7 linked regions of the Macaca mulatta genome follow. The protein of the gene in region 1 interacts with the protein of each later gene in a pairwise test. Links are inferred from orthologs where the notes say so. Each region holds a gene or a part of one and is shown in the gene's direction. Other genes may lie near its edges. The genes, in order: CDC5L, KIF5B, SFR1, EXOC1, BICRAL, KIF3C and TRIO.

Evidence for each region.
Region 2: the proteins of CDC5L (region 1) and KIF5B interact in a two-hybrid assay, tested with the Homo sapiens proteins (2 studies listed by BioGRID and IntAct). The link is inferred for Macaca mulatta from reciprocal best matches to the Homo sapiens genes CDC5L and KIF5B.
Region 3: the proteins of CDC5L (region 1) and SFR1 interact in a two-hybrid assay, tested with the Homo sapiens proteins (2 studies listed by BioGRID and IntAct). The link is inferred for Macaca mulatta from reciprocal best matches to the Homo sapiens genes CDC5L and SFR1.
Region 4: the proteins of CDC5L (region 1) and EXOC1 interact in a two-hybrid assay, tested with the Homo sapiens proteins (2 studies listed by BioGRID and IntAct). The link is inferred for Macaca mulatta from reciprocal best matches to the Homo sapiens genes CDC5L and EXOC1.
Region 5: the proteins of CDC5L (region 1) and BICRAL interact in a two-hybrid assay, tested with the Homo sapiens proteins (2 studies listed by BioGRID and IntAct). The link is inferred for Macaca mulatta from reciprocal best matches to the Homo sapiens genes CDC5L and BICRAL.
Region 6: the proteins of CDC5L (region 1) and KIF3C interact in a two-hybrid assay, tested with the Homo sapiens proteins (2 studies listed by BioGRID and IntAct). The link is inferred for Macaca mulatta from reciprocal best matches to the Homo sapiens genes CDC5L and KIF3C.
Region 7: the proteins of CDC5L (region 1) and TRIO interact in a two-hybrid assay, tested with the Homo sapiens proteins (2 studies listed by BioGRID and IntAct). The link is inferred for Macaca mulatta from reciprocal best matches to the Homo sapiens genes CDC5L and TRIO.

The regions. Positions count from the first base shown.
Region 1 is NC_133409.1:137,702,699-137,706,199, reverse strand, and holds part of CDC5L (cell division cycle 5-like protein), read left to right. Parts: intron 1-1,565; coding exon 1,566-1,710; intron 1,711-3,501.
Region 2 is NC_133414.1:33,415,977-33,420,124, reverse strand, and holds the start of KIF5B (kinesin-1 heavy chain), read left to right. Parts: upstream 1-1,347; 5' UTR 1,348-1,793; coding exon 1,794-1,919; intron 1,920-4,148. UniProt on the Homo sapiens protein: Microtubule-dependent motor required for normal distribution of mitochondria and lysosomes. Can induce formation of neurite-like membrane protrusions in non-neuronal cells in a ZFYVE27-dependent manner.
Region 3 is NC_133414.1:116,280,849-116,284,899, forward strand, and holds the start of SFR1 (swi5-dependent recombination DNA repair protein 1 homolog), read left to right. Parts: upstream 1-1,250; 5' UTR 1,251-1,310; coding exon 1,311-1,323; exon of another isoform or gene 1,324-1,408; intron 1,409-2,074; coding exon 2,075-2,196; intron 2,197-2,803; coding exon 2,804-3,214; intron 3,215-4,051. UniProt on the Homo sapiens protein: Component of the SWI5-SFR1 complex, a complex required for double-strand break repair via homologous recombination. Acts as a transcriptional modulator for ESR1.
Region 4 is NC_133410.1:77,615,709-77,619,209, reverse strand, and holds part of EXOC1 (exocyst complex component 1), read left to right. Parts: intron 1-1,329; 5' UTR 1,330-1,339; coding exon 1,340-1,463; intron 1,464-3,427; coding exon 3,428-3,501.
Region 5 is NC_133409.1:139,355,108-139,359,149, reverse strand, and holds the start of BICRAL (BRD4-interacting chromatin-remodeling complex-associated protein-like), read left to right. Parts: upstream 1-1,241; 5' UTR 1,242-1,288; intron 1,289-2,014; exon of another isoform or gene 2,015-3,395; intron 3,396-4,042. UniProt on the Homo sapiens protein: Component of SWI/SNF chromatin remodeling subcomplex GBAF that carries out key enzymatic activities, changing chromatin structure by altering DNA-histone contacts within a nucleosome in an ATP-dependent manner.
Region 6 is NC_133418.1:99,013,693-99,017,769, forward strand, and holds the start of KIF3C (kinesin-like protein KIF3C), read left to right. Parts: upstream 1-1,277; 5' UTR 1,278-1,917; coding exon 1,918-3,462; intron 3,463-4,077.
Region 7 is NC_133411.1:15,573,322-15,577,519, forward strand, and holds the start of TRIO (triple functional domain protein), read left to right. Parts: upstream 1-1,397; 5' UTR 1,398-1,781; coding exon 1,782-1,938; intron 1,939-4,198. UniProt on the Homo sapiens protein: Guanine nucleotide exchange factor (GEF) for RHOA and RAC1 GTPases. Involved in coordinating actin remodeling, which is necessary for cell migration and growth. Plays a key role in the regulation of neurite outgrowth and lamellipodia formation.

The DNA.
Region 1 (3,501 bases):
GTATCTTCCACCTCCCAGGCTCAAGTGATCCTTCCACCTCAACCTCCCAAGTAGCTGGGACTACAGATGTGTGCCACCATGACTGGCTAATTTTTTATTTTTTGTAGAGAGGTGGGTCTTGCCATATTATCCATGCTGGCCTTAAACTCCTAGGCTCAAACTGTCCTCCCTTTGCCTCTCTCACAAAGTATTGGGATTACAGGCGTGAGTCACCACGCCTGGCCCTTTTAGTCTTTTCTAGTGAAAAATTTTGTTTTTATTAAGATGAAATTAAAAGAAAAAACTACTGATCCTTTCACTTGATGGGATAGATACACTTTTATAAAATCTTTATGTTTTAGAAGATAGCAGATTTTCCCTATTTCTTGAGAATTTTAGTTTCTTTAAATCTCATATCTGAATATTGTAGGGAAAGTATTTTATGGTTGTCAAGGATTTTTAAAAGTTTTCTGCTCTGTTGACCTTTAATTTCTGTTGATATGAATTGTTACAAAACAACAGCTATCGGCCATTGTAAAATAGGATTTTCTTAGATGTACTCCATTGTATTTATTCCTCAAATTAGGACTTTGCTTTAGGTAGGCTGTACAAGTAAAGAGACGGAACAGGAAAACTATTGATTTGGAAGGAGTACTAAGTGGGGGAGGCAAGAAAGACGCAGAAGGGGAGGAGGTATTCCTGGAGCTTTGAAAGACTGCTTCGAGCCTGTCTTTAGGCGTCTTAATCATGTTTAGATGTTGCTTGTCAGTATTAAAACAGCCTTTTTAAAAAACTTGTGAATTTTAAGAATCATGACAATTTAGTAAGTTTTAAAGGGAAATTTAAATACTATATTTTAATATTATTTCTTTCATACACATTGTCCTTTTTACATACTTGTCATACTTTTTCCTATGTGCACACACATTTTCATTGAATGTTCATAATATAGGAATAGTTTTTCTTTTGACATTATGTGGAATGTTTTGCTTATCACAGTCTTCATACTTATATGTTTTAATATTTAGTACTTCAATTACTTAGGGTATGTTATTAATAATTTTATTGCTATTCTGAGTTTGCTTTTATCTTGAATATAGTAAGTAATGGTGTAGGGGACCACTTAATGCATATTGTTTTTGCCTTTTTTTAGTTCTTTTCTTTTCTTTTCTTTTTTTTTTTTGAGATGGAGTCTTTCTCTATCGCCCAGGCTGGAGTATAGTGGCAGGATCTCAGCTCACTGCAACCTCCACCTCCCAGGTTCTAGTGATTCCCCTGCCTCAGCCTCCGAGTAGCTGGGATTACAGGCACACGCCACTACGCCTGGCTAATTTTTGTATTTTTAGTAGAGACGAGATTTCGCCATGTTGGCCTGGCTGGTCTCGCACTCCTGACCTCAGGTAATCCACCCACCTTGGCCTCCCAAAGTGTTGGGATTACAGGCGTGAGCCCCTGCACCCGGCTTTTTTAGTTATTTTCTTAGAAATGAGGTTGGTTTGTTCAAAGGGTATGAGTATTTGTATGAATTTTAATGTTTTTGCCTATATGTAACTTACAAATGTCTTTTCTACCTTGATCCATGACAGTGAAAAAGAAGGAAGAGATAGAAAAAAAGACAAACAGCATTTGAAAAGGAAAAAAGAATCTGATTTACCATCAGCTATTCTTCAAACTAGTGGTGTTTCTGAATTTACTAAAAAGAGAAGCAAACTAGTACTTCCTGCCCCTCAGGTAATCTGATAAAAGCAAATTTTTCACTATGTGAATTTATATGCTTATATCATTTATTCAGCAAATGTTTGAAGGCCTGTGTGCCAGGTTTGTGCTGGATGCTCTTAAGAAATTCACAGTTTAATGGGTAAGACACACATAAAAACAAGTAATTGTGGGCTGGCTGCGGTGGCTCACGCCTGTTATTTTAGCACTTTGGGAGACCAGGATGGGCAGATAACCTGAGGTCAGGAGTTCAAGACAACAGGAGTTCCTGCCCAGTGTGGTGAAACCCTGTCTCTACTGAAAATACAAAAATTAGCTGGGCGTGGTGGCACACACCTGTAATCCCAGCTACTCAGGAGGCTGAGGCGGGAGAATCACTGGAACCCTGGAGGTGGAGGTCGCAGTGAGCCAAGATCGTGCCTCCGCACTCCAGCCTGGGTGACAGAGTGAGACTCTGTCTAAAAAAAAAAAAAAAGAAAAAGAAAAACCCACAAGTAATTGTGATATAGTATGATAAGATAGCTTCAGCTTCTCTGTATAAATTATTGTATCAGGTCTTAAACTGCTCATATGATGGTTTGGTAAGTAATCGTCAGCTCTTAACATTTTGTCAACAGGTTAGGATTTTAGGCTTCTTTTTTGTAGCTGACAAGGGTAAAGGTGTGGTTTGGCTTTGTGGACTTTAAGCTACCTTCTCCCAGGGAGTGTTTTGTTGTGTTTTGCTTGTCTTTTTTGAGACAACAGTTACGAAAATCAATGTAGGAGTTGTGGAGAAAAGATACAAACATTCTTTCATTCAGCTTGTTACAGGCTGTTTTCTTTTTACTTATTCTAGTTGATCAGAAACATGGGACCTTAGAGTAACCTTTTTTTTTTTTTAATGAAACTGAGTCTCGCTCTGTCGCCAGGTTGGAGTACAGTGGCGCCATCTAGGCTCACTGCAACCTCTGCCTTCCGGGTTCGAGTGATTCTCCTGCCTCAGTCTTCTAAGTAGCTGGGACTACAGGCGTGCGCCACCATGCCCAGCTAATTTTTGTGTTTTTAGTAGAGACAGGGTTTCACCATATTGGCCAGGATGGTCTCGATTTCTTGACCTCATGATCTACTTGCCTCGGCCTCCCAAAGTGCTGGGATTACAGGTGTGAGCCACTGTGCCTAGCTAACCTTCTTTTTTTTCTGTTTTGAGTAGTACAGCTTTGTAGAATTGGACAGATTTAATGGTGCAGAAGAAAGGACTTAGGAGACCAGAAGAACTCTTTCCCCCTGTGAGCACATTGGCTGCATCAACACAAGATTCTTGGGCATAAACTAATTTTGTCGTATCCTGACATTCCTAGTGGGGATATTTATTAAATTGAAATTTTGTCTTTAATTTTTTTCTTAGTACACCTTAGGATATTTATTTTGGTAAAATTACTAACACAACACCTTTAGATTTTCTTAGGGATCTTGTGGCTCACTGGAGTATTTCTGTGTGATATTTTAATTGGTTTTCAGTCTTCCTCCTCCAATTTTGTATAAATACTGCTATTTTACATTCTTGGTACATTGATACGTTGATTTGAAAGAATTTCAGTATAGAGATACAGCCTTTGTAGCTTGATTTTATATCAAATGTGAATTTTCCCCTCACATTCTGTAAGGAAGACTTTCTAAAGCTATATTATGGAAACTTTCAAAGCCACAAAAAAGATGAGTACTACCGAGAACCCCTGATACTAATCACACAGCTTTAGCAATTCGTTTTTCTGGAATGTGGAAATTTAAAGATGTGTCAGCTCTCAGTTAAAATAGGGTTTTTTTTTT
Region 2 (4,148 bases), on another chromosome or scaffold:
TGAGCCACCACCCCTGGCCAGATCTGATGTTAATGCCTTTACTTGCAGCTCTGCCTTGCTTGGGGCCTCTCAAAACACTGCTTCATTGAAATGTTATCAGAACTCCACACCTCCCAGAAAGCCCCGGGTTAATTCCATCTATTCTTTTGTTTGGTGAGATGCTCTAAGGTTCCTTGAGCTTGAGCTCTTCTTCAAGGCAGTGGATTAATAAACCTGAATCTGTTGAACTCTGAATTGGTTTCTGGAGGTATTAGGATGATTGGGTGAGCACAGGGAGCCCTGGAGGTTTTCATAGTTCAATCCTTCGTTTTACAAACAGAAATTGGGGACCGGGGGAGGAGGTGTTACTGCAGTTCTTCCGCAGCACCTCAGAGCCACTTCCTCAGATCCACTTCCCCGTGGAATTTTATGGTACTCATCTTCTAAAACTAGAAGGCAAAATCAGCTATGGAGTGGTTTTCCTTGGATATGTAATGCACAAATTTACCTAGGCCTTTTATAAAGACCATCTTTATGCTCCAGGTCAGTCATTCCTCCAGTATTGGGATTGATGAGTTCCGTATGTTCATTGCCGGCGAAGTGGCGGGAATTCGCTGAACTGCGTGGGGGCGGCGTGGGTGCGGGCTGGATACAAGGCACTGGGCAGATGAAGTGACAGAGATGCTGTGTGAGGGGGGCTGAGGGCTCTTCCCCCTCCTCACCCTGCTGTTCCACATTTCTTCAGCAACCTTCTTCATTCCTCAGGAAAATTTTCCTTTTTCTTTCTTATTCCTGTCTCCCTACATCCCACTCTCAGGAAAGAGTTACCCTTCATTGAAATCTTACTTTTTCTGGCAATGCGCTCTAAAAAGGTAGACCAGGAATGATTCCCGCCGCCAGAAAAAAATGAAAGCAACACTTTCTTTTAGGAATATAGTACTTTATGTTTTTAATTTTAAAGCTGGTCAAGTGACACAGCGGGAGTGGAGAAGAAACAAATCTCTGGCTGTCATCAACTAGTTGCAAACACCACCGCACCCGGACCAGCCTAGTGATTTATTTAAACAAACCACATTAAGTAGTTAAAGCAAACCCTTTCTCCCCCAAAGAAAAGAAAGCTAAGTACGTCTGCCTTAGCTCTGGGGGATTCTTCGGCGGCTGGGGATGGCGACTGGGAGCTGCCGCCCTGCGTCCCCAGGCACTTCTGCGAGACTGGCAGTGCTGTAAAATTTGAATCTGCGACTCCTGGCCAGGAGTGGTGGCGGAACCGGCGGCGCGGCCGCAGAGACCGGCTGCGAGCTCGGGCACGGATTGGTCGCCGGGCCTCCCGGCCCACCGCGCCTGCGCACTCCTCCTCCCGCGCCGCCCAGTCGCCCAACGGCGGCCTCAGGAGTGATAGGGCAGCAGCCGGCCAGCCGGCCAGCGGACAGCAGAGCGGGCGGACGGGTAGGCCCGATCTGCTCTTTGCGAGGAGGAAGAAGGTGGCCGCTTCCCGGCCCCCAGAACCTCCCCAGCCTCCGCAGCACGCCCAGGCCGTCGAGGGCGTCGCTGAGGAGCCGCAGACGCTCTCCCCGGTGCCGCCGCCGCCATGGCTGCCATGATGGATCGGAAGTGAGCCTTAGGGTAACGGCTGCCGGCGCCGGCTCTTCGAGTCCCGGCTCCCCGGCCGCCTCCGCCCGGGGAAGCGCTGCGCAGCGCAGCTGACTGCTGCCTCTCACGGCCCTAGCGACCCCAGGCCCTTAGCCCCGTCGCGCTCCCCGCAAGACTAAGCAGCCGGGAGTGGCTCCCGGCCGCCGGCCCCGGCTGCGAGAAAGATGGCGGACCTGGCCGAGTGCAACATCAAAGTGATGTGTCGCTTCAGACCTCTCAACGAGTCTGAGGTGAACCGCGGCGACAAGTACGTCGCCAAGTTTCAGGGAGAAGACACGGTCGTGATCGCGGTGAGTGACCCCCTCCGGCACCCCTCCTCCCGCTTCTTCGGGCCGGGCTGTGCAGAGAGTTTAGGGAAGTGGCAGGGTGCAGAATTGAAAGGGAGCAGCGGTGTCCCCAGCCCTCCCCGGCGGGGTTTGCCGGTTCAGATAACCCAGTGGAGGAAGACTGCGCAGCTTCGCGTGCGTTCCGGGATCGCCCCCACCCCGGTCTTTGGCGCCGGGAGACGGGAGGCGCCCAGCCTCAGCCCTGGACACTCCCCCACCTGCGGCAACGGAGGAACGTCCGGGGAGCAATTTCAGTGCACGTTTGTCTGCGTTTCTGTGTGTGCAATTACGGATATTGGTGTTTTGGATTAACCCCAAATTTGCCATTCAGAAAATATGTAATGCTTATATAAAGTTCAGCTGGGGACATTGAGCTGTGAGACAAGCCGTATTATGCTTTAGTAAAGATACTTAGTTTTATAGAAACATAACCAGTCCTTGAACCGTGTTGTTTCCCCCTGGGAGAAGGAAAAAGCACCAAACAGCTACAAATATTATCTACACCTCAAACTTTCACCCACCACTTTTTGAGTGGTGAATGACTTTTCATGTTAACAATTACAAATGGTAAATGGATGATTGTAGAAAGAAATAGTTGAGCTTTTTTTTTTTTTTTTTTAATAAATCGGAATGATCAATTTTGTTTAATCTAGCAGACCTAGCCGACTTTGGTTGAGTCAGATAAGTGCTCCGAAAGACAAATCGCACTCTTGCTAGGTTTTATGGGATAACAGCCTAGGAAAAAGTATCAGCTATTTGTTTTTATATCAGACAAAGTATTATAAAAACAAGCTTATAAAAAAGATAAAAATTGACCAGTATTAGATTCATACTTCTGCAATTAAGGTCTATCTTGAAGAAAATTGATCTTTGGTAATCCCAAGAATAGTGAGATACTGTTTTTTTGTAATGTAAAACATAACTAGAGTTGAGTGATCATTTGAGACCAGAATGTGAGGGTGTTTTAAGGTCTGATCTCTGGCATTGAAAGGTCTGAGAAAATAGCACTCCTAGTTGAAGGAGATTAAAAATTAATTGTAAAGTATGGCATACGAAACAGTGAACTGTGACTAAATTATGTTGATCTTTCTTGGCAATGCTATGTAGTAGAACTAACTTTCTACATTGTTACCGTAGTATGAAATTTTAATATGTTAATTTTTCCTCTAATGTCATTCTGTAGTTAATAATTGTATGGGGCTATTTAATTTGGAAATAGGGCAGAGGTCACAGGAGATGGGACAAGGATGATTGAAAGCATTGACACTGAAGACAGACTAAAGTTCTTTAGGGTTTTGATGTGAAAGTTTCTCCAAAGTTCAGCTCCGAAAAATGAATGTCTTAGCTCCTTGGTAGGCCTTTGGCAAACAAGTCATTAGGCCACTAACAACTGCCAACTATTACTGTGTAAAGATTGTCAGGCCAGTTCTTTGTTAACAAGTGCACAAGAAAACCTCTTGTGTAAATGACATCATAGGTTGGCAGAGGCGGAGTAGGAGTAGTTAAGTGCAGTAATCCTTTTCCTTTAGGATGGTATATTTTACATATAGTCTGGAGGCTTGCAAGGCCTAGATTAGTTGTCACACTTGAGGCCATTAGTTTCTTAAGAGTTTTTGTAATTTACAGTACTCAGCTTCAGCAGTGGTTGGCACATAACAAACCTATTTTTCCTTTTACACTTGTCTTAAGAATGTCTTATTTCTTCAGATTTTGTGTTTACACAGATCTGTAGTTATCACTATGATTCTTTTTGTTGGAATGCTAAAATTTAGGATTCATAAAATGTATTAAGATTAGAAGGTAACCTTTGATGAGGCCCAGATATGACATAAACTATGAAGAAAGAACTAAAGGAAAATGAATAAAGGAAACATACATTTATTCTAGGTTTCCATTGGGAAAAAGTTGCTTATAAGTTCTGTTTCAAAATTTCAGTACTCTATATAAACGGTAATATTAGGAATAAATGTATAGGTTGTTGGTTTGTGAATCCATATTGAACAGTTAACCTTTAGGTAAACTGATAAGCATTTTAGTTGTTTTTTGGTTGGTTGATTTTTTTTTTTTTTGAGATTTTTTTGAGTTGAGTTTTGCTCTTGTTGCCCAGGCTGGGAGTGCAGTGGGGTGATGTCAGCACACTGCAACCTCCGCCTCCCAAGTTCAAGCGACTCTACTGCTTCAGCTGCCTGATTA
Region 3 (4,051 bases), on another chromosome or scaffold:
TTAAGTAGTCCTCAGGTTCTGTAATTATTATACCTGACTGCTTAAGGCTCAGGTAACTCCCTTCTGGCCACTTCTAAGCCATTACTGTCAGATGTTATTAATAGTAAAGAGACGATATCAATGTTTAAAACGGCCATTCAATAAGAGGACTGAAAACACTAGCCCCTGGAAATTCCCAACTTCCACGCGACTCAGAAGTTACACAACTCTTTCCCTAAACCCAGTGCTCCACCCAGTGTAGCTAACTTTGTCGTCGCGTAGCAACAGAACCTCGCCACACTGGAAGCGTGGCGGGGGGTCGGGGGGGTGGATTTTCTCGACTGGGGATGCTGCTGCCCGGTGGCCGGCAAAGGCCCTATCGGTCTCAAACATCTGAATTTTGCACCGACACAATCTCATGTAATGATTGTTCTGTTTCCTGTGTTGCGCCACAACAAACTTCCTTGGGCTACATTTTCCCTCAGATTTGAGTAAAAGATTTGAGGTCACGCTAAGAAGCCTGAATACTGAGGTACAGAAACGGTTGTTTACAAAAAAAAAAAAAAAAAAAACCTAGCGACGGGACCGCCGAGTTTGCGGCAGCCAAAAAAGCTAGCGATGAGCTCAGCTAAAGTGCCAGGACTCTCGGATAGATTTCTAACATGTTTCATTCTCAACAGGCTGGAACCCAACGCTGTTCTTGTGGTCTCTGCCTCTGGGGAGTCCACAAGCTGTAAATCTAACATGCAGCCAGCCGTGCGGCTTCTGGCCGCGCCACATCTGAGGAAAGCCTTTTCTGTGACGAGCGGGGAGAGGAGACTGACTGGAGCCAGAGAATGGAGGCGGCGGGCTGGCGGAGGCAGGGGGAGGCACTTTCAGGCGCACTTCACAGACGCACAAAAACAAGGAAGCCTGAAGGGAAGGCGGTTGAAAATAAGACAAGAGAAGCCGCCAACGGAAGCGCGCCCCCCTCAGGATCGGTTGGTCGTTCCAAAGCTCAGCTTCCCCCGCCCCGAAGACCTGCTGCGGATCACAGCCGCGCGCGCGCACTCCCGCTGCCCTCGGGCGCTGGGCAGGGAGAGCCGCGCGCACCGGTTAATTCTGCCAATCACGCGTTTAGGCCGCCTATCGTGTGGCCAAGCCCCGCCCCAACCGCCGGCTGGCGGAGGCGCGCGCGCAGTCCCGCCGCTCTGAGTCGCTGAGTGAAGCGGCGTCTCGCGCGTTAGTCAGTCTGGCCAATTGCGCGTCTTCTACGCCAGCCGCACGGCCCCGCCCCTGCCACAGGATCGATTTACGGCCGCAGCTGCGCGCGCTTTTTGCTCTCGCTGGGAATGGCGGAGGGAGGTACTCAGCTGAGGGGAAGGGGGTTACCTGAGACCTGGGCTTCCCCGGGAGTGTGCTGTGGAGTCGAGTTGAGCTCCTTTTCCGGGTCTGGGGAACTCAACCTCACCTCATCCATGGGGTCTTCGGGGATCTAGTGGGCTTTCTGCAATGGGGGGAAGGAGGGGACTACTCCCGCCCCTGGTTTGCCTCTCAAAAGTTGATGCCTTTGTCGGAGAAAGCAATTTCAGTCCACTCTCCTTTTCAGTGCCTATTCGCTGCTTAAACTAAAAGGGCGTAAATGCATCTCCGCTGTGTTTCTTATGCCTCGGGCCGGCAGGGTAACGGGTTCTAGTCACAGCTTGTAGAGTTCAGGATGGGTGACATTCAGGTCCTATTGTTTTTGAGTCAAAGTTTCGGCTATATCTTCTTGAATTATGAAGCTGTCATCATAAAGAATTCCTGATTAAAGCTGTTATTCCCTTCTTCCAAGGCAGAATTTGAATATATTTTGGTGGATGAAAAGAAAACAAGGAGAGTTGTGACTATGAGATACTAGCTGGTTGATGTGTCATGAAAATCTTAGTGGTCCCTTTGTGGGAAGGTAAATGGAAAACTGCAAAAAGAGCAATAATGAATTACAAAGTGAAATTAGAAGAAATATCTGGCTTACTTGTGGATGCTTTGTACACCAATAAAATATATTCTTTGATAAAAATCGACTATGGAGAGGTGTGGCTAATTTGATTCTCATTTAATAATTTTTCTTTTTTAGAGAAAAACCAAGATTTCACTTTCAAGATGGAAAGTTCGTCAGACTCAGCTGTGGTTTTACCTAGCACTCCTCAGGCCTCTGCGAATCCATCATCTCCCTATACAAATAGTTCACGAAAACAAGTATGAAAATCTTTGTCCTTCCAGTGGATCCATTGTGTGTTTCTAAGTATTGTGGCAGTGGTGGTTTAAATTCTACTGAAGGTTGTTAATTAACATAATGTGTAGCATAAATAAGTAGACATTTTATTAAACAATTTTATGTTTTTCTTCTAAGGTCACATATATGACACCCACCAGCCCCTTTCCATATTTTCCTCTTGAATCAATTCATTTCAGTTAGTTTCAGATTAATGGAGAAAGTTAGAATCTGTGCAATATTGTGAAGGTCTTTAGTGGCAGGGTCTAGGTCTTTTCCTTACTCTGTAATTCTGAAGCACCTGGAGTACCGTCAGGCATGTGCTTGTTACTGAACAAATGTTCCTTGATTACTGGGATAAACCTTTCAACACTTTTAGAAAGGTGTTGATCTTGCTGAAGTAAAAAGGAAATAGAACAAATGGAGCTTCCAGAAATTAAAGACATTTTGTGATGCCTTCTTTAGATGTGGAGACAGAAAGCCATCTAGTGGTGTCTAGCACAGAAATGTAAGGCCTTTATTTCTGGTGATTTATTGACATCAAGAATGTTTTTCTTGATTCACATTTTTAATGTTTTATGCTCTTTATAGCCTATGAGTGCAACACTTAGAGAAAGATTAAGGAAAACAAGATCTTCATTTAATTCCTGTTACAATGTGGTGAAACGTCTTAAAGTAGAGAGTGAAGAAAATGATCAGACCTTTTCAGACAAACCAGCATCTTCCACAGAGGAAAACTGTTTGGAATTTCAAGAAAGTTTTAAACACATAGATAGTGAATTTGAAGAAAATACAAATTTGAAAAATACTTTGAAGAATCTCAGTGTCTGTGAATCTCAGTCACTTCATTCTGGATCATGCAGTGCTCTCCAAAATGAGTTCATGAATGAGAATCTTCCTAAACAAAGATTAAACGATGAAAAAGCCAAATTGGTGAAGCAGGTTCAGGAGAAAGAAGACCTTCTTCGGAGGCTAAAACTAGTCAAAATGTATAGATCAAAGGTGAGAAGAATTTCGGGACCATTGTATCATTTTTATTTTTACATAAATTGCAGGAAAGTAATTTCAAAAATAGAAAATAAGGTGTGTGTTTGTTTTTTTATCATAATAAGCAATAAGCCAAATATTCAGAAACCTGGCTTCCAACAACTTTAATTCAACTCCAGATTTAGAGTAGAAAAGGCCCTTAAACACCAGGTAAAACTTTTTAAGAATCTCAGCTCTTATTTAATATGCAGTTAAACTTTTCTTTCTAGTTTCTAGCCCACAGCAATATTAGAAGTATTAAATGTTAGATGCAAGTACGACGGGAACAGAAGTGAAAGCTGACAGTCAATTAGTAAAACTAAAAATGGGCTGTAGAGTACAATAAAAGGTATTTTATTTATGATCTTGTGTCTCCCCCAAATAATTAATGTGATTCAGCCATATTATTTGAGAAAAAAACAAATATATATTAGATTTTAGATTTCAACTCATATAGGTTGAATTAAATAGAACTTGAGTACATGGAAGGAGATAACCTTTATTACCTGGAAAATTCATATATATGCAATAGCTCATTTTCCCCCAACTATGTGGAATAAATGATGAGATAGCATATCTCATTTGTTCTCGTGAAATTTTAGGGTTTTTTAAAAATAAAATTTAGGAGTATTGAATGTATTTTAAAATTTAGGAGTAAAAAGTGTATTTTATTTATTCATTCTCTTTTTAGAGACATGGTCTCTGTTACCCAGCCTGGAGTACAGTGGTACAGTCCTAACTTATTGCAGCCTTGAACTCCTGGGCTCAAGTGATCCTCCCACCTCAGCCTCCCTAGTAACTGGGACTACAGGC
Region 4 (3,501 bases), on another chromosome or scaffold:
CGTTGAAAAAATAGTAATATATATCCACACAAATATGTATATGAAAAATAAAATAGAGATTAAAAATTATTTTAACTTAAGTTGATGTTTGAAAAGATGCTGAGTTAGGTAAGATAAAGGAGATAAGTGGAAACCTATTTTTATAACAATTTTATTGAGATTACATATGATAAAGTTCACCCTTTTCAGTTATATAATGTAGCGATTTTTGGCATATTCACAAGGTTGTACAACCATCATTACTATCTAGTTGAAAAGCATTGTCATCACCCCAAAAAAGAAACTCCATACCCATTAGCAGTCAATCCTCCTTTCCACCTTCCTCTCCAGCTCCTGAAAACCACTTATATTTCTGTATCTATGGATTTTCCTATTCTGGATATTTCATATAAATGGAATCATACAATACGTGGTCTTTTGTTTGCTTAGCATAATCTTATCAAGATTCATCAATACTGTAGCATGTTTCATTACTTCATTTCCTTTTTTTTTTTTTTTTTGTAGCCGAATAATCCATTGTGTGGCTATTCCACATTTTACTTATATATCATTTGATGGACATTTCTGTTATTTCCATTTTTTGGCCATTGCAAATAGTGCTACCATGAACATTCATGTACAAATTTTTGTGTGGACTTATGTTTTCAGTTCTCCTGGGAGTGGAATTGTTGGATTGTAGGGTAGCCCATGTTTAACTTTATGAGGAGCCACTAAGCTGTTTTCCAAAGTGGCTGCACCATTTTACAATCCCGCCAGCAACGTACAAGAGTTCTGTTTCCTCTCATCTTCACCAACACTTACTATTTTCTATCATTTTTATTTTAACCACCCTTGTGAGTATAAAGTGGTTGACACCTCATTGTGGTTTTGATTTGCATTTCCTAGTGGCCAGTGATGTTAAGCATGTTTTCATGTGCTTATTGTCCATTTGTATACCTTTGGAAAAATGTCTATTCAGGTATTTTATTCAATTTTTAATTGGGTTATTTGTCTTTTTATTGTTGAGTTGTAAGGGTTCTTTATGTAGAAAACTATTTAAAGATTGAGCAGGGAGTTGAAGATTTTTTTCTTAAATCTTGTGTTTGTGGGGGGGGTGTGTGTGTGTATACTCGGTGAGCATTTCCAAACATTTTAGATTTTGATAACACTGGTTCTCTAATTTTATTTCCAAACTTCCAGCTTTATATTTTTGTGATATAGGTGTATTCATATAGTAAATCGTTTTTCCTAGGCTTGTTAACCAAAAATCATTTTCAAATCATAAATTCAGAAGTATAAGGTGGAATGATGTTCAGAGTGAGCTTAATATCTATACTCCAAATTTTTCAGCTGAGAAAAGATGACAGCGATCAAGCATGCGTTACAAAGAGACATTTTTACACCAAATGATGAACGCCTGCTGAGCATTGTGAATGTCTGCAAAGCAGGAAAAAAGAAAAAGAACTGTTTTTTATGTGCCACAGGTGGGTATTTAGTAAGAAAGAGTACTTGTTTTGTATCCTTTTGTTATTTAGGAGATATTTCCTTTTGTTTTGAATATCCCAGTTGTCTCTATAATTGAACAAACTGTTGGGTCAACAAATTCCCACTTGGCTTTGACAGGCTGTTAGTTGTTGCCAATCTGGTGGTAGTGAAATAGTATCTCATTGTGGTTTTAAATTGTATTTCCCTATAATGATGAGATTGAGCATCTTTTCATGAATTTCTTGGTCATTGCATTCTCTTGTCTATGAAATTTACCTGTTTAAGCCTTTTACTCACTTTTCTATTGTGTTGCTTGTCCTTTTACTGATTTGTACAAGTTCTTTCTATAATCTTTCTACAGTCTTTTGTTGGTTGTATGCATCCCAGGTAGTGGCTTGTCTTTTCACTTTTTATGATGCCTTTTAATGAAATTTATAATTTAATATAATTAAATGAAATTAATTAATCCTTTATGGCTTTCCCTTTTGGTGTCTTAAAGATCCTTCCCGGATATCTTTTGTACAGTCATAAAAATATTTTCCTAAATTCTAAAAGTTTTATAATTTTGTCTTTTACATTTTAGTCTTAGTTCACCTGTGTCGACATCTGTCGTGGTGTGTGTGAGCATTTCTGGTTATCATCTTATATCTTATTTTTATTTTGTTTTTGTTCTTTATTCCACCTAAATTTTAGAAACAACTTGTCAAGTTTCAGACTTTGTTGGGATTTTGATTGGAATTGTTTTGAACCTATAGTTCAATTTGGAGAGAACTTACATTTTTATTGTATTGAATCTTTTGTGTCGATGAACATGGTACAGTTCTCTGTTTAGGTGTTTTATAACTTTTATGAGTTTCATCATTTTCTCTAAAGGTTTCGCATGTATATTGTTGGATTTATTCCTGGGTATTGATTTATTCTTAGATTTTATTTGATAGTCATGAAAGCTCTTTTTAACATTAATACATTTTAAAATCATATATTGTTAGAATTCTACAATGAATTGTTGGTGTTTTATATGGATATCTATCAATCTTGCCAAACTTTCTTATTAATTCCAATTATTTATAGACTCTTTGAAGGTAGTGATATTTTTCTTCCTTCCTTTATAGTCTTTATATCTTTTATTTATTTTTGTTGGTTTAGTTTCCTAGTTAGGACTATCCATCCAGGCTCCATCTCAAAGAGAATGACTTCATTTTTAAGCATGATATTTGGTAGAGGGTTTTTATAGCTATCCTTTACAGTGTTAAGTAAGTTCCCTTCTATTCCTGATTTCTTCCAATTTTTTTAAAAAATCATGAATGGGTGTTGAATTTTATCAACTGCTTTTTATATCATTGATAGTATCATAAAATTTTCTCCCTTGTTAGTGTAGTGTATAATTGTACTTGGTTTTTCAAATGATAAATTGACTCTTTAGAATGACCTCACTCAATTATAATGTATCTGTATTAGGCCATTCTTGCATTGCTATAAAGAAATTATTAGGCCAGGAGTAGTGGCTCATTCCTGTAATTCCAGCACTGAGGGAAGCTGAGGTGGGCAGATGGCTGGAGCCCAGGAGTTTAAGACCAGCCTGGGCAACATAGTAAGACCTTTATATGTAAATATATTGTTGCTCTTTGAAATGCTATTTTGCTCTTTCAAGCCTCGCAGACTTTACATATGTCAATCATTCTTTAGATTTTTACCTCATACTTTTCTTTAAAACTGGTCTGAATTAATGTGTTATTAATATATTATTCCTTTATTTCTCAAGGAGTCTACTCTGAACCTCTAGTCTGACTGAGATGCTTCTATTAGGATTCTGTGCTTTCCTCAGTCAAAGCCCTTGTTGCAAAGTATTACACCTCTTTTAGTATCAGCTACTAGGCACCTGAAAGCTATACTTGCAAGGAGCAAAAGAAGAATGAGTGAAAGGAGTAATATTTCTAATAAAAGTGTGTGTTTTACTTAACAGTGACAACTGAACGCCCTGTGCAGGTTAAGGTGGTCAAAGTCAAGAAATCCGATAAGGGAGATTTCTACAAAAGG
Region 5 (4,042 bases), about 1.7 Mb from region 1:
TCTCGGCTCACTGCAACTTTTGTCTCCCAGATTCAAGCGATTCTCCTGCCTCAGCCTCCCGAGTAGCTGGGATTACAGGAGCCCACCACCACGCCCAGCTAATTTTTGTATTTTTAATAGACACAGGGTTTCACTATGTTGTCCAGACTGGTCTCGAACTGCTGACCTCAGGTGATCCACCCGCCTCGGCCTCCCAAAGTGTTGGAATTACAGGTGTGAGCCACCGCGCCCGCCCTGGGCCACATAATTTAAATGCTTTGGATACAGAGAAGTTTCAACAATTTGAGATTTCAGATTAAAAAATGGGTGGTAGTTATACTTGGACCAAAGAATGTTAAAAGATTGACTAGCTCTCTTTTAAGAATGAGGGGGTTATGTAATGAAAATTCCGCAAATATGGAGATAAAAGGTATCTACATAAAGAGAAGGCAGTAGAATGTTTTGAGAGTGATTTACTCTGCCTCACCTTCCTTTTGGTCACTAAAGTTTTTTGTTTTCCTTTTTAATGTTCACATATGGGCTTCACAGGTAAGGTTTCACGAATTTTGGAATGGAGAAAGAGTGTTGCAAAGGAAAGCTTAGTACATTTAAAAGTTAGGACGAACCAGTTATTTGCCTAATAACTAAGTTAAAAGTGGTTTTGGTTTTTAAAAAGCATATGCAAAACGTATTTACTGAGGCTTGCTCTAATTAGAGTTCTAAACAAATCTTGTAGGTTTTTTTTTTTGTCTTTAATCTTCCCCGTTCGCGTGTCAAGCTAAAACTGTGTGTGTGTGTGTGTGTGTGTGTGTGTGTAGAGAGAGAGCCTGCAAGAGAATTAGCACGCACCTCGTGGATCTTAATAATTTTTTTTTAAAGCCAAATAAAACTTTCTTGAATAAACCAGTACATTTCTGAAGTTAAAAAGAATCCCAAAGGAAACAGGAATGAACATCCTTGGAGCTTGATTTACCAAAAAAAAAAAAAAAAAAAAAAAAAATTTTTAATTAAAAAAATCCTAATCTCCACATTTTTTGCCAGGCGAGAACCGAAGTTTGGAGGTAGAGGAGCAGGCGAGCGGTTTGCCCGGGCGCAGAGCATGAAGGCCGGGCGGGCGCGGGGAGCGGGCGCCCGCCGCCCGGCGCGGGGGTGAGCGAGAGAGAGAGCGGAGCGCGTGTGGCCGGCGCCGCTCGGCCGGGAGCTCCCGCGCTCGCGCCCCGCGCCCCGCGCCCGCCGCCGCCGCCGCCGCCGCCGCCCCTGTTGCGATGGCGCAGAAACCCCGTTGACAAGGCACTGCTTTTTCATGACGGTGAGTTTCCCTTTGAGTGTATTATAATTTTGTGATAAAAATTTCAAGGAGAAAAAAAAAACACACAACCTCCTTCCTCTGCCTCTTTCCTTCGGGGAGGGGAAAAGCGAGGGAGGGGGGGCTGGAGATCTGTCTCCAGCCAGAAAAGAAAGAGGAGCAAATTAAACACCGAGTTGCCAAAACCAGGATATTAGGTTTCAGCCCAGAGAGCTATTGGCTAAGGCTGTGTTTTTTTTTTTTTTGGGGGGGGTGGGTTTGTGGGTGGGTGATGGTGGTGGTGGGTGGATGTTTAATGGACACGGAGAAAAGGGGAATCGAGTGTTTATGCCTTTCCCAGCGCTGCCGGGGCCCCGGGAAGACCAAGTTCAGTGTCTCGGGCGGGGGCGCAGGCGGGCAGGGGGCGGCGAGGCCGGGCCGGGGGCGCCTCGGCGAGGTGGGGGCCCGGCGCCTTTCTTTTTCCTTTTTTTTTTTTCTCTTTTCCGCGGATGCAAATTTCTGGAGCGGGGAGAGGGAGAGCCCGGGAAGGGGGTGGCGTGGCGGTTGGTGGTGGGGAGGGGAGGGGAGGGAAGCCTTTTAATGACTCATTGATTGAGCCGGTTTAAAATTAGTTGTGTGCGCGAGTGTGAGTGTGTTTTCCGCCCCCCGGAGCCGCCGGGAGCCGGGAAGGAGGGAGCAGGGCTCGGCGAGGGGAAGACGGCGCGGCGGGGCCGCGAGCAGGGGGCAGGGAGGGCCTGGAGTGACGGCGGGCGAGGAAGAAAAATAAGCTTTTCCAATCTCCTCCCCTCTGTTTTCCCCCCCTCGTTTCTTTTCTCTCTCGGAAGCTCTAGGGTGTGAATCACATTTTCTTTCTTCTCGGCAAAATGGACCCCGCGTCTGGGGAGGGGGAGGGGAAAGGGTGGGGAGGGAGGCGGCGGAGACGGGGTTTATTTTTCATCCTGGCTTCGTCCTTCCCGCCGCATCTGCGGGCGGCCGCGGCGAGGAAAGCAGGTCCGGGCTGCGGCGGGGAGAGCTCGGGGCCGGCGAGTCGCCCTGGCCCCGCTCCGAGCCCGCGGCGGCGGCGCGCACCTGCCGCGGGACTGCCCTTTCCCAGCCGCTCGCTGCCTTCTGAAGCACCGCAGAGGATCCGCGGTCGGATCCGGCCGAGCCCCCAGCCACGCGGAGGATCCGCGGCCGGGTCCGGCTGAGTCCCCAGCCGGGCGGAGGACTCGCGGCCCAGCCGGGCGTTTCCTACGAGGCCCGTGTTGTCCGCCGCGCTGGCCAGAAGAGCTGTGTGGCTGGGACGGCGCTTTTTTGGCCGAGTGCGCGCGGGCCTGATGCTATTCGCGCCCCCCGAGTCGCCCCGAATGCGGGATCTTGGGTGGGGGGTGCGGTTGGAAGGCGCTAAGATGGCGCTGGGCCTGGCCTGTCGCCAGGGCTGGTGGCGCAGTTGCTCGGCGGGCGCCATCTTTCTCGCGGCGCGGGCGGCGCCCTCCGAGGACATGTCGCTGACCAGGGCGCCGCGAGGCCCGGGGCCAGCGGGAGCCGAGAGCAGGGTGCTGAATTCTGGAGATGGGACTGGGGTCGCGCGGCCTTCTCCTTCCCCACGGCCCCAGACCCAAAAGACGAGGCCGCCAGCTCGGAGCGGGAAGGGCTGGGGTCAGCTTCTTCCTCCTTCCCACTTGTGATGGAAGAAGGGGACTGGGCGTCGAGCCTCGCGGCTGATGGGTTCCCTCCCTGACCCCGCACCCCCACTCCTCCCAGTCAAAATTGGAGGTGAGGCGCTTCTGCCATTTCTCTCCTGCCATCTGAGAGTGGACGCCTTTGTCTTCTCTGGCCCGGCTTGGGGGCAGGGCATTGAGGCTTTTCCTTCATTCTCCAGTTATTGGAAGTAGAGTCCAACCAGGTTACAAAACTAAAAAAAGAGTCCAGGACATTGTCTGTCTGCCTTCCCGTAACATGGTTCTCTTGTGGGCACCCTACGCTTCGTTTCTTAGTTTTACTCTAAAACAACCATGAGGAGACATTTACTAGTCAGATTGAGAAGGTGATGGGTTCCAGTTTTCTGAAACTTCTTGTTGGCTTTCATATTACTTCAAATGGCAGTGAATTAAAAGTTTCTTAGAACGCTGATCTGAAAAGTTAAATATGCTTTAAAACACTCTGAAACTCTTCTAAAAAGCAAAACTGCATTATTTTCCTAAAAGCATCCATGTAAGTATCTGTTGGTAGTAAGTATCTGTGTTAGAGATGGGGGAGGGGTTTAACGTTTACATTGTTACTGAAAAGAGGAGGGGAAAGATTTGTAAAGCTCTGATTTCTCTAGAAGTCCGCAGACATGGAAAGTAAGTAGTTAATTTCTAGTATAGAAAAATAACACAGTGGTGCCAGTAGGTGTGTCCTTGTGTTTATAAATATACATAGTGGATGTTTTAGACCATTTAATAAGACCTATCTCATTGAACATCTGTATGCCAGAAACTGTGCTTGATGCTTTGTATAATTTCTATTATATCAGCCCTGAAATAGTGATTTTATGATCTGTCTACCGGGGAATGAACTACCGTTCACAGAAGTATAGTAATTGTTCGAGGTCTTGCAGTTTTTAGTAAAGTTGCCATTGGATAACGAAAGCTGTGTTTTTCCCCCTACACCTGTGGTTTCCAAATCTGAGCATCAGAATTAACTTGGGAGATGTTTTTAAATAGAGATTTGTAACATCACCTCTTCCACCATCATTTGCTAGGGCCAATGGGGTCCTTTAATTGTGTGTCAGGC
Region 6 (4,077 bases), on another chromosome or scaffold:
AAAGATTAAGACTCCCATAGAGGAACACTAAGCACAGACATGGTCTCTCCAGGATACTCAAGGAAGCAGGAGATGTCAGGCAATCCAAGCCAGGACAGGACTTCTCGTGGTACAGTACTTCATGAGTCATTATTTCATTTGAGCCTCCCAACCACTCCATGAAGTAGTTGTTAATTATTTCTTTCCTGCCTCGAATTTTTTAAAAAGTAAATGAGGAAACTAAGGCTGGAACAAGAGGAGTGATATCCACTCCGTTGGATGGTCATCAGAACTGGAACTTCAATCCAGGTTTTGTTTTAGGTAAATTCTGTGCCTCTTTCACTATAGGAAAAAAAAAATTGCTAAGGGAAGGCTTCGTGGAGGAGGAGATGCTTGAACTGCCCCAGTGGCAGGGCACTAAGTGCCGAAGGGTGATAAGGCTTCTGGGCAAAAGCACAAAGATGCTGCATAGCAAAGCAAGTTAAAGAAACAAAACAGGTTCCGGGAATGTGCACTCCTTGAGGACAGGAAGAACCCAGATCCTAGAATGGGGCCTGGGACTCAGCAGGCGCTGGATAACTGAAGAAATGGCTGTCTGGAACACAGATTTTTCTCTAGAGGAGTAGTGGAGGTGAGGTTGCGAAGTCGGGAGATGGAGAGGCTTTCACACAAGGAAGGCGGTGGAGGAGGAGCGAGGGGGCCCCGGGTGCCTGTGCGGACCTGAGGTGCCAGAGAATCAGCTGGAAGGCGGCTCCAGCAGAGAGAAGAGGAAGGCCAGAAGTAGACCGGGACAGGGGGAGGAAAGGACAGAGTCAAGGAACATTTAGGAGTTCGGTTCCAGGAGGCCTGGCGACACCCTGACGGGGAGGGGTGACGCGCACCCATTTGCAGGCAGAAAGGCAGGAGCAGGGGGGTGTCCGAGGATGGTGGCTCGGAGGGACCAGGCGTGGGTGGTGCAAGCTCAGCAGTCACTCAAGGGGTGGCATGCCGATGAGGGAGGCGCCTCTCGGACTGGGGGACCGGGAAAGGCATTAGCAACCTGCCAGAACCCGGTTAACAAAGGCGGGACTACAATTCCCGGCATGCTCGGGCTCGGTGGGGTGACGACGGGCGGTGGCTGCGCTGCAACCGACTGGTGGGCGCAGGACTTGGGTCGGCACCGGAGCCTGTCATCCCAGAGCGGTCGGCGGGGGTGCAGACACGGCGATGCGCCCCTGTGCCCAGCACCCGGGCCGCGCCGGGCTCGCGCCTCCCGCCCCGCGGCCCCGCCCCCTGCCCCACCCCAGCCGGGAGGCTTAGCTGGGGCCGCAGCGCGGCGGCAACATCACTCTTGCCGCCGCTGCTCCGCCCCATCCCCTTCTGTTTTTCTCTCTCATTCTCCAGTGGCGGCGGGGAAGGCGGAGGCAGAGGCAGCAGCAGCCGCGCTGGCTGCAATGAATGATCCCCCAGCTTGCGGGGAGGACTCCAGGTGAGCCTCTGCCCTCGGGAGGCCTGGGACCCCCGGCCGCCCACGACCGGCAGCCCACGCTATGGATCCCTAGAGGAAGGAGGAGAAGACAGCTCGCTGCCCACCCCCATCCCATTTTCCTCTTCCTTTATCTCATTGTTGCCGAAGCTGTTTACGGCAGCGCTCCCTCTGCTCCGGCATGGGGCGGGCTCCGGGCACGGCTGCTCGGCAGGCGCTCCTTCCGCGGCGGCTGGGCGATTCTGCCTAATTCACCTCCCAGCCGGTGCAGAGAGGACCGGAGAGCGGTGGAGGCCCGGACTGCAGCAGCGTTGGGGCCACCTCCCAGCGTCCCCACCCTAGGAGGCTGCATGCGGATTGAAGAGCGGCGCCTGGGGACTGGGCCGGCCCCGCTGATCCCGACCTAGCGAGCAGGACAGCAGGACCGCCCAGGCTGCGGAGGGGCTCGGGGGCAGGAAGGTCAGAGCAGCAAGATGGCCAGTAAGACCAAGGCCAGCGAGGCCCTCAAGGTGGTGGCCCGGTGCCGCCCCCTCAGCAGGAAGGAGGAGGCTGCTGGTCACGAGCAGATCCTTACCATGGACGTGAAACTGGGCCAGGTGACCCTGCGGAACCCCCGCGCTGCCCCGGGGGAGCTGCCCAAGACCTTCACCTTTGACGCTGTGTATGATGCCAGCTCCAAGCAGGCCGACCTGTATGATGAAACCGTGAGGCCCCTGATAGACTCCGTGCTCCAGGGTTTCAATGGCACGGTGTTTGCCTATGGCCAGACGGGCACTGGCAAGACCTATACCATGCAGGGGACCTGGGTGGAGCCCGAGCTGCGCGGGGTCATCCCGAACGCCTTTGAGCACATCTTCACCCACATCTCCCGCTCCCAGAACCAACAGTACCTGGTCCGGGCCTCCTATTTGGAGATCTACCAGGAAGAGATTCGAGACCTGCTCTCCAAGGAGCCGGGCAAGAGGCTAGAGCTGAAAGAAAACCCTGAGACGGGCGTCTACATCAAGGACCTCTCCTCCTTCGTCACCAAGAATGTCAAGGAGATTGAGCATGTGATGAACCTGGGGAACCAGACCCGGGCTGTGGGCAGCACCCACATGAATGAGGTCAGCTCCCGCTCCCATGCCATCTTTATCATCACCGTGGAGTGCAGCGAGCGTGGCTCTGATGGCCAGGACCACATCCGAGTGGGCAAGCTCAACCTAGTGGACCTGGCTGGCAGTGAGAGGCAGAACAAGGCAGGCCCCAACACAGCGGGAGGGGCAGCCACACCATCCTCGGGTGGCAGTGGTGGCGGTGGAGGCAGTGGTGGCGGTGGTGGTGGAGAGAGGCCTAAGGAAGCCTCCAAAATCAACCTGTCATTATCTGCCCTGGGCAACGTGATTGCTGCCCTGGCGGGCAACAGGAGCACCCACATTCCCTACCGGGACTCCAAGCTGACCCGGCTGCTCCAGGACTCCCTAGGGGGAAATGCCAAGACCATCATGGTAGCCACACTGGGGCCAGCTTCTCACAGCTACGATGAGAGCCTCTCCACCCTGCGCTTTGCCAACCGAGCCAAGAACATCAAGAACAAGCCCCGGGTGAATGAGGACCCGAAGGACACGCTGCTGCGGGAATTCCAAGAGGAGATTGCCCGCCTGAAGGCCCAGCTGGAGAAGAGGGGGATGCTGGGGAAGCGGCCCCGGAGGAAGAGCAGCCGCAGGAAGAAGGCCGTGTCCGCCCCGCCTGGGTACCCTGAGGGCCCGGTGATTGAGGCCTGGGTGGCAGAAGAGGAGGATGACAACATCAACAACAACCGCCCGCCCCAGCCCATCCTGGAGTCAGCCTTGGAGAAGAATATGGAGAATTACCTGCAGGAACAGAAGGAGCGGCTGGAGGAGGAGAAGGCAGCCATCCAGGATGACCGCAGCCTGGTGAGCGAGGAGAAGCAGAAGCTGCTGGAGGAGAAGGAGAAGATGCTGGAGGACCTGCGGCGGGAACAGCAGGCCACAGAGCTGCTTGCGGCCAAGTACAAGGTAAGGGCTCCAGAGGAGCTGGGCACTTGAGAAGTCCCTGCAGGGAATCCTGGCAGGGAGGTTCTTCTTTGAGAGTCTGTGACCTGGCCTGAAGCGGAGATCCTCCCTCAGCACCACACACTGCTCTCCTGCCAAATGTGCCCCCAGAGCAGCCGGGCAAATTGCTCTGATACCGGACTGCCAGGCACATGCACAGGCACACACACACACATGCGCGTGCACACACACATGAAGCAAAGCGGACAGGCGGTCTCTCAAGCCAGTGAGCTTGGGGTGGTCTGACCTGCTGCGGTCATTTCCTGCTGGTGGCCTCAGGATCAGTCAGGTCTGTGGGATGGCCAGGCAGCCTCTCGTGAATGTGGATTCTCGTTCCTTCACAGCCTCCTCCCCTGAGGCTTCCTCCCTCTGCAGCATCTTCAAACCTCACATCGTTTTAATAATATCATTTGGTTAGTACTTCAGTTTACAAAATGCTCCACATATATGATCCATACATGATCTCATTTGATCCTTTGGCCATCCAGGGTCACAGTTCTGAAATCCCCATTTCAGAGGTGAGGAATTAAAGCTCAGAGAAGTGACATGACCAAGGTTCCATCCTATGAAGTGGCAGAG
Region 7 (4,198 bases), on another chromosome or scaffold:
GTGTCCCTTTGAGGTACCCCCACCACTGCTGATGTTGATTAAAAATTTTTCTTTTCACGGGGGGAGCAAATTCCTCACCTTTTGGCACAAGGTGCTCCAGGCACACCTTGAGTATTTCCTGTTCCAGTCCTAGAATCAGCCATTTCCTCAAGGAGCTCTGGTTCCTTTTATTGGAGAATGGTATTAGAAGCAAGATCAGAGTGCTAGGTGTATTCCTTGCTACAGTGTTGTGTCTAGGCCCACTCAGCTGACAAAGCAAGGAGATACAAGTATGTGTACTACCCTCTATCTACAAATCTCTGTACAGACCCATTATATATATATGAATACATAATATAGATATAGACCCCAAACATGAGTCCATACCGATGTCTCCAACTCTAATTCTGTACCACAAGGATCACTCTAGCCTCTTCCTGGCTGTAACCTCCCACTCCAACGGTGAAGATTTGATAGCCACCATCCACCATTTATATTTGTCTATTTCCAGTATACTCGTGTGGTGGTTTCACCACCCAGTTGCTTTTCATATCTCTTGCTTCCGTCTCTTGCTTCCGTTTCCCCCCGACAGTGGATCCTTTCACTCTCCTTGGAGCCGGGGCATAGGCGTTTTGAACTAGAATATTCGTCCAGCGCTGATTTGACACGGATCTTCTGCAAAGGACCATATTTTTTGGCCTCCCCAGACCTCGTCATCTTCCCCATTCATTCTGGCGGAGTAAGGACTGAGGAGCCGTGAACCCGAGGTTCAGCAGCCTAAAGTCCCCTGGGAGATGGGGATACACCGAGAGGAATCCCATCTTACAGGAGAGCCGTGTACCCGTAGGAGTATCGTGGACTCCAGGACTGGAGTAGATAACCTGTTATCAGGCCCTCTCTGTTCACTCAACAACTATTAAGAAGCCCCCTCCCCGAGCCAGGGCCGGCGCTGCGCCCACGAGGGAGGCACCCGCCCCGGACCGCGTCACCCCGCCCTGCGGGCTAGACGACGAAACGCTTCGCCGCTCAGGGGACAGCGCTCCGGTGCAGGAGCCAGGGCCCCAGTGGGGGGCGCAATGCCGGGCCTGAGAAGGTCCGCTCGGGCTGGTCAGAGCTTTCCTGATCCTTTCAAGGCTTGCAGCTGCCTGGGTGAGGGAGACCGAACCAAACCGAACCTTCCTGCAGCCTTCCGGCCGGCCCCGCGGGCGCCCAGCAGCCCGACACGGCACCGCCCCTCCCGCCCCGCTCCTCCCCCCAGGCTCCGCCCACCGCCGAGCCCACGCTCGGCCCCTGACGAGGTTCGCCGGAAATTCCCGAAGCCCCTCTTTTTTTTTCCTTCCTCTCCGTTCCCTGCTCTCCCTTTTCCTTTCACCCGGGTTCCCTCGGCCGTGATTTCCCCTCCCCCTCCTTCCTTCCCCATTGAAATCAAGATGGAGGCTCGCGGCAGTCGCCGGCGCCCGTGATCCCGGAGCTTTCGCCGGCCACGGGCCCCCGCCCTCGCGACTGCGCGTCCGGGCGGCGCGCACTGCTGCCAGCGCTCCGGCCGGCGCCCCGGAGGCCGTGGCTCCGCGCCCCCGCCCCTCGGCCAGCTCTCGGCTACCGGGCGGAGTCCTCGTCTATGTGGGCGCGCTCCTTGGGCCGAGCCGCCGCCGCCGCCCCCCGCCGCCCCGGGGCTCTGCGTCCGCGCGCCGGGCGCGGGCAGCTGGGTGCTCGGCGCCGCCAGGCCCGGCGCAGAGCGGGCGGCACGCGGCGCTAGGGGCGCGGGGCCCGAGGCGGGCGCGGCCGCGGGCGCCGCCGCAGCCATGAGCGGCAGCAGCGGCGGCGCCGCCGCCCCCGCCGCGTCCTCCGGTCCTGCCGCGGCGGCCAGCGCGGCTGGCTCGGGCTGCGGGGGCGGTGCCGGCGAGGGGGCCGAGGAGGCGGCCAAGGACCTGGCCGACATCGCGGCCTTCTTCCGATCCGGTGAGTGCAACAGCGGCTGGCCAGCCCAGCGGCGCTGCCCCAAGCGTTCGGCCGATCCGCCGCGGAGCTGCCAGGCTCCGGCCACCACGCGCCGGTGCCCACCCGTCCGTTGGGGCCCGCACGCTCTCGCCTGGGGCCACTGCTTCCACGCGCCGGGGCTGCCCGCCCCACATCCGCGTGTCCCGCTGCCCGCGCAGCCCGGCGTGCGGCAGCTTGGCCCGAACGCCACCACTTCGCCTTCCCTACACCCGCCCCTCGTTCCAGGGCAGAATCCCCTGGTCTCCCGCTCCCGGCAGCCGCGGCTTCGCGGGCTGGGGCGCCGGCTCTTTGTCTCTTTCGCTGGAGGACCGAGGAGGCGGCGGCGGAGATGGCGTGGGCGGAGGCTCTTACCCCGGAGACCGAGCGGACTGAGCCGGGGCCGGTCCGGGACGGGAAATTGGTCTCTGATCTGTGCCTGTTTGTGCCTGATTTGTACCTGGACCCTCCTCGATCCCAGTAGCAGCTGGGTTTCTTTGCTTGGCCCGCTAGCCTGTCATCTCCCCAGCCTCGGTCTACACTTCTGTGAAACGGGGCAGTTACGGCATTCACTGCCCAGGGAATGGGAACGGTGGCCGAGCTGAAGCTCGGAGGGCCGGGAGGCGCGGTGAGCCATTGTCTCCGGGGACGATCCGGGAGGGTCAGCTGGGAACGTGGCCCCGGGGGGGCAGTGCGGGACTAGGGCTCGCGGGGCACTGCATGGGTGGCGTGGAGGTGGAGGCAGTGCTAGGTGGCCCCGAGTCCACCCCGGCGTGGAGGAGGTGGCCGCGGGAGAGGCGCGGGTGGCGACCGGTCCGTGGGAGGGGCGCCGGGTTTGGTGCGCAGGGGGCGTGACAGGGCGTCCCCGGTACCCCAGCGGCGGCGCCTCCTCCCGCCCCGGCCCAGATCCCGCGCGAGCCGGGCCCGCGTCCCCGTGTCCCGCGTCCCCGCGCCCAGTCCCGTCTGCTCGCGCGTCGGCTGAACAGCAGCAGCAGGAGGCGGCGGCGGCGGCGGCGGCGGCGGCCTCGGGGCCCGCAGCCCAGAGCGCAATCCTTAGCTGGCCGGGTGCGGGGCAGGGAGGATGCAGACTCTGCGTTGGAGAGCGGAGGAGGGCGGGCCAGGTCGGGGCCTGGAGAGGCGGGCGGGGGTGCTGGTGGCGGCCCCGGGGAGGACGGCAGGGCTGGGGACACCGACGGGCCAGGGGAGCAGCCCTGCCCTGGGGGACGCGCGGGAGGTCGGCGGCTCACGCTTTTCCGTGGCCTCTTTGAAAATCACCTCCCCAGATTCGGTGAGATCAGTTCCACAATCCGGGTCACAAGGAGCAATTGCAGCGGGAGGGCGATGGTGAGAGTGAGAAGTTAGCAGTGCTGGTAGATACCTGGTTTAGTACTGTCTTCCCTTGGTTGTCTTGATCTTTGCTAGGCGGGGTTATTTTTGATTCATTTTAGCAGATTGGTTGTGGCTAGGAGTGACACAGCCGACTGTCCAGTGTTAGCTTGGGGTTAATCTACTCCCCAGTGCTCACTCTCCTTGTGAGGTCCCTGCAGAAAGCAAAGGTTAGGAAAACATGAGCTCCTTCTAAAGAAAGCCACCCTCCCCCCCCCACCTTTTTTTTTTCCCCCGGTGCGACTGGCCAGGTAGAGCAGCCCCGTCTTACCTCTTAATAGCAGAACTGGGACGTATTCCATTCATGCCCTGAAGCTAAAGTCTAGCCTGTCTTCTTTTTCTACCACCTGTCACAGAATAATAGATTCTGTGCAGAATTCAGCTCCTCTACAGCTGTTAGAAAGGCTCTTCTGCGTTGGAGATGGATTTTTTGGTGCTTGTGAGACCAGGCTTTTTTACATCTCTATTATGCATAGTAGAAAAATCACTTCTGCTGCTAAGAGCCCTCCCTAAAAGACACCGAAGACTTGCTGCCTGTCGGCGTGACTCTCTCCAGGAGTTGTCGTCTGCTCTTGGCTTTGCTTAGGCCTGTGCTGACCCAGCCGCTGGGGCTCCTGTTCATGTTCCGTTTGGGTCAGAACCAGGTAATGTTGCTCACTGGCTTGTTCCTTTCTTCCCCCCTCTGAAATGACAAACTTAACTTTTAGTTGTTTCACTTGGAACCAGGAGCCAGGGCAGAACTTAAGTAGGTATCATCAGATGCAGCGTCCCATTCCGGGGATAACCTGGAACGTCTTTTTAAAAGTGAAATCTCTTTTGGGCAGCTCTGAGTCCCTGACCTAGATCTTGGCTCTAGCAT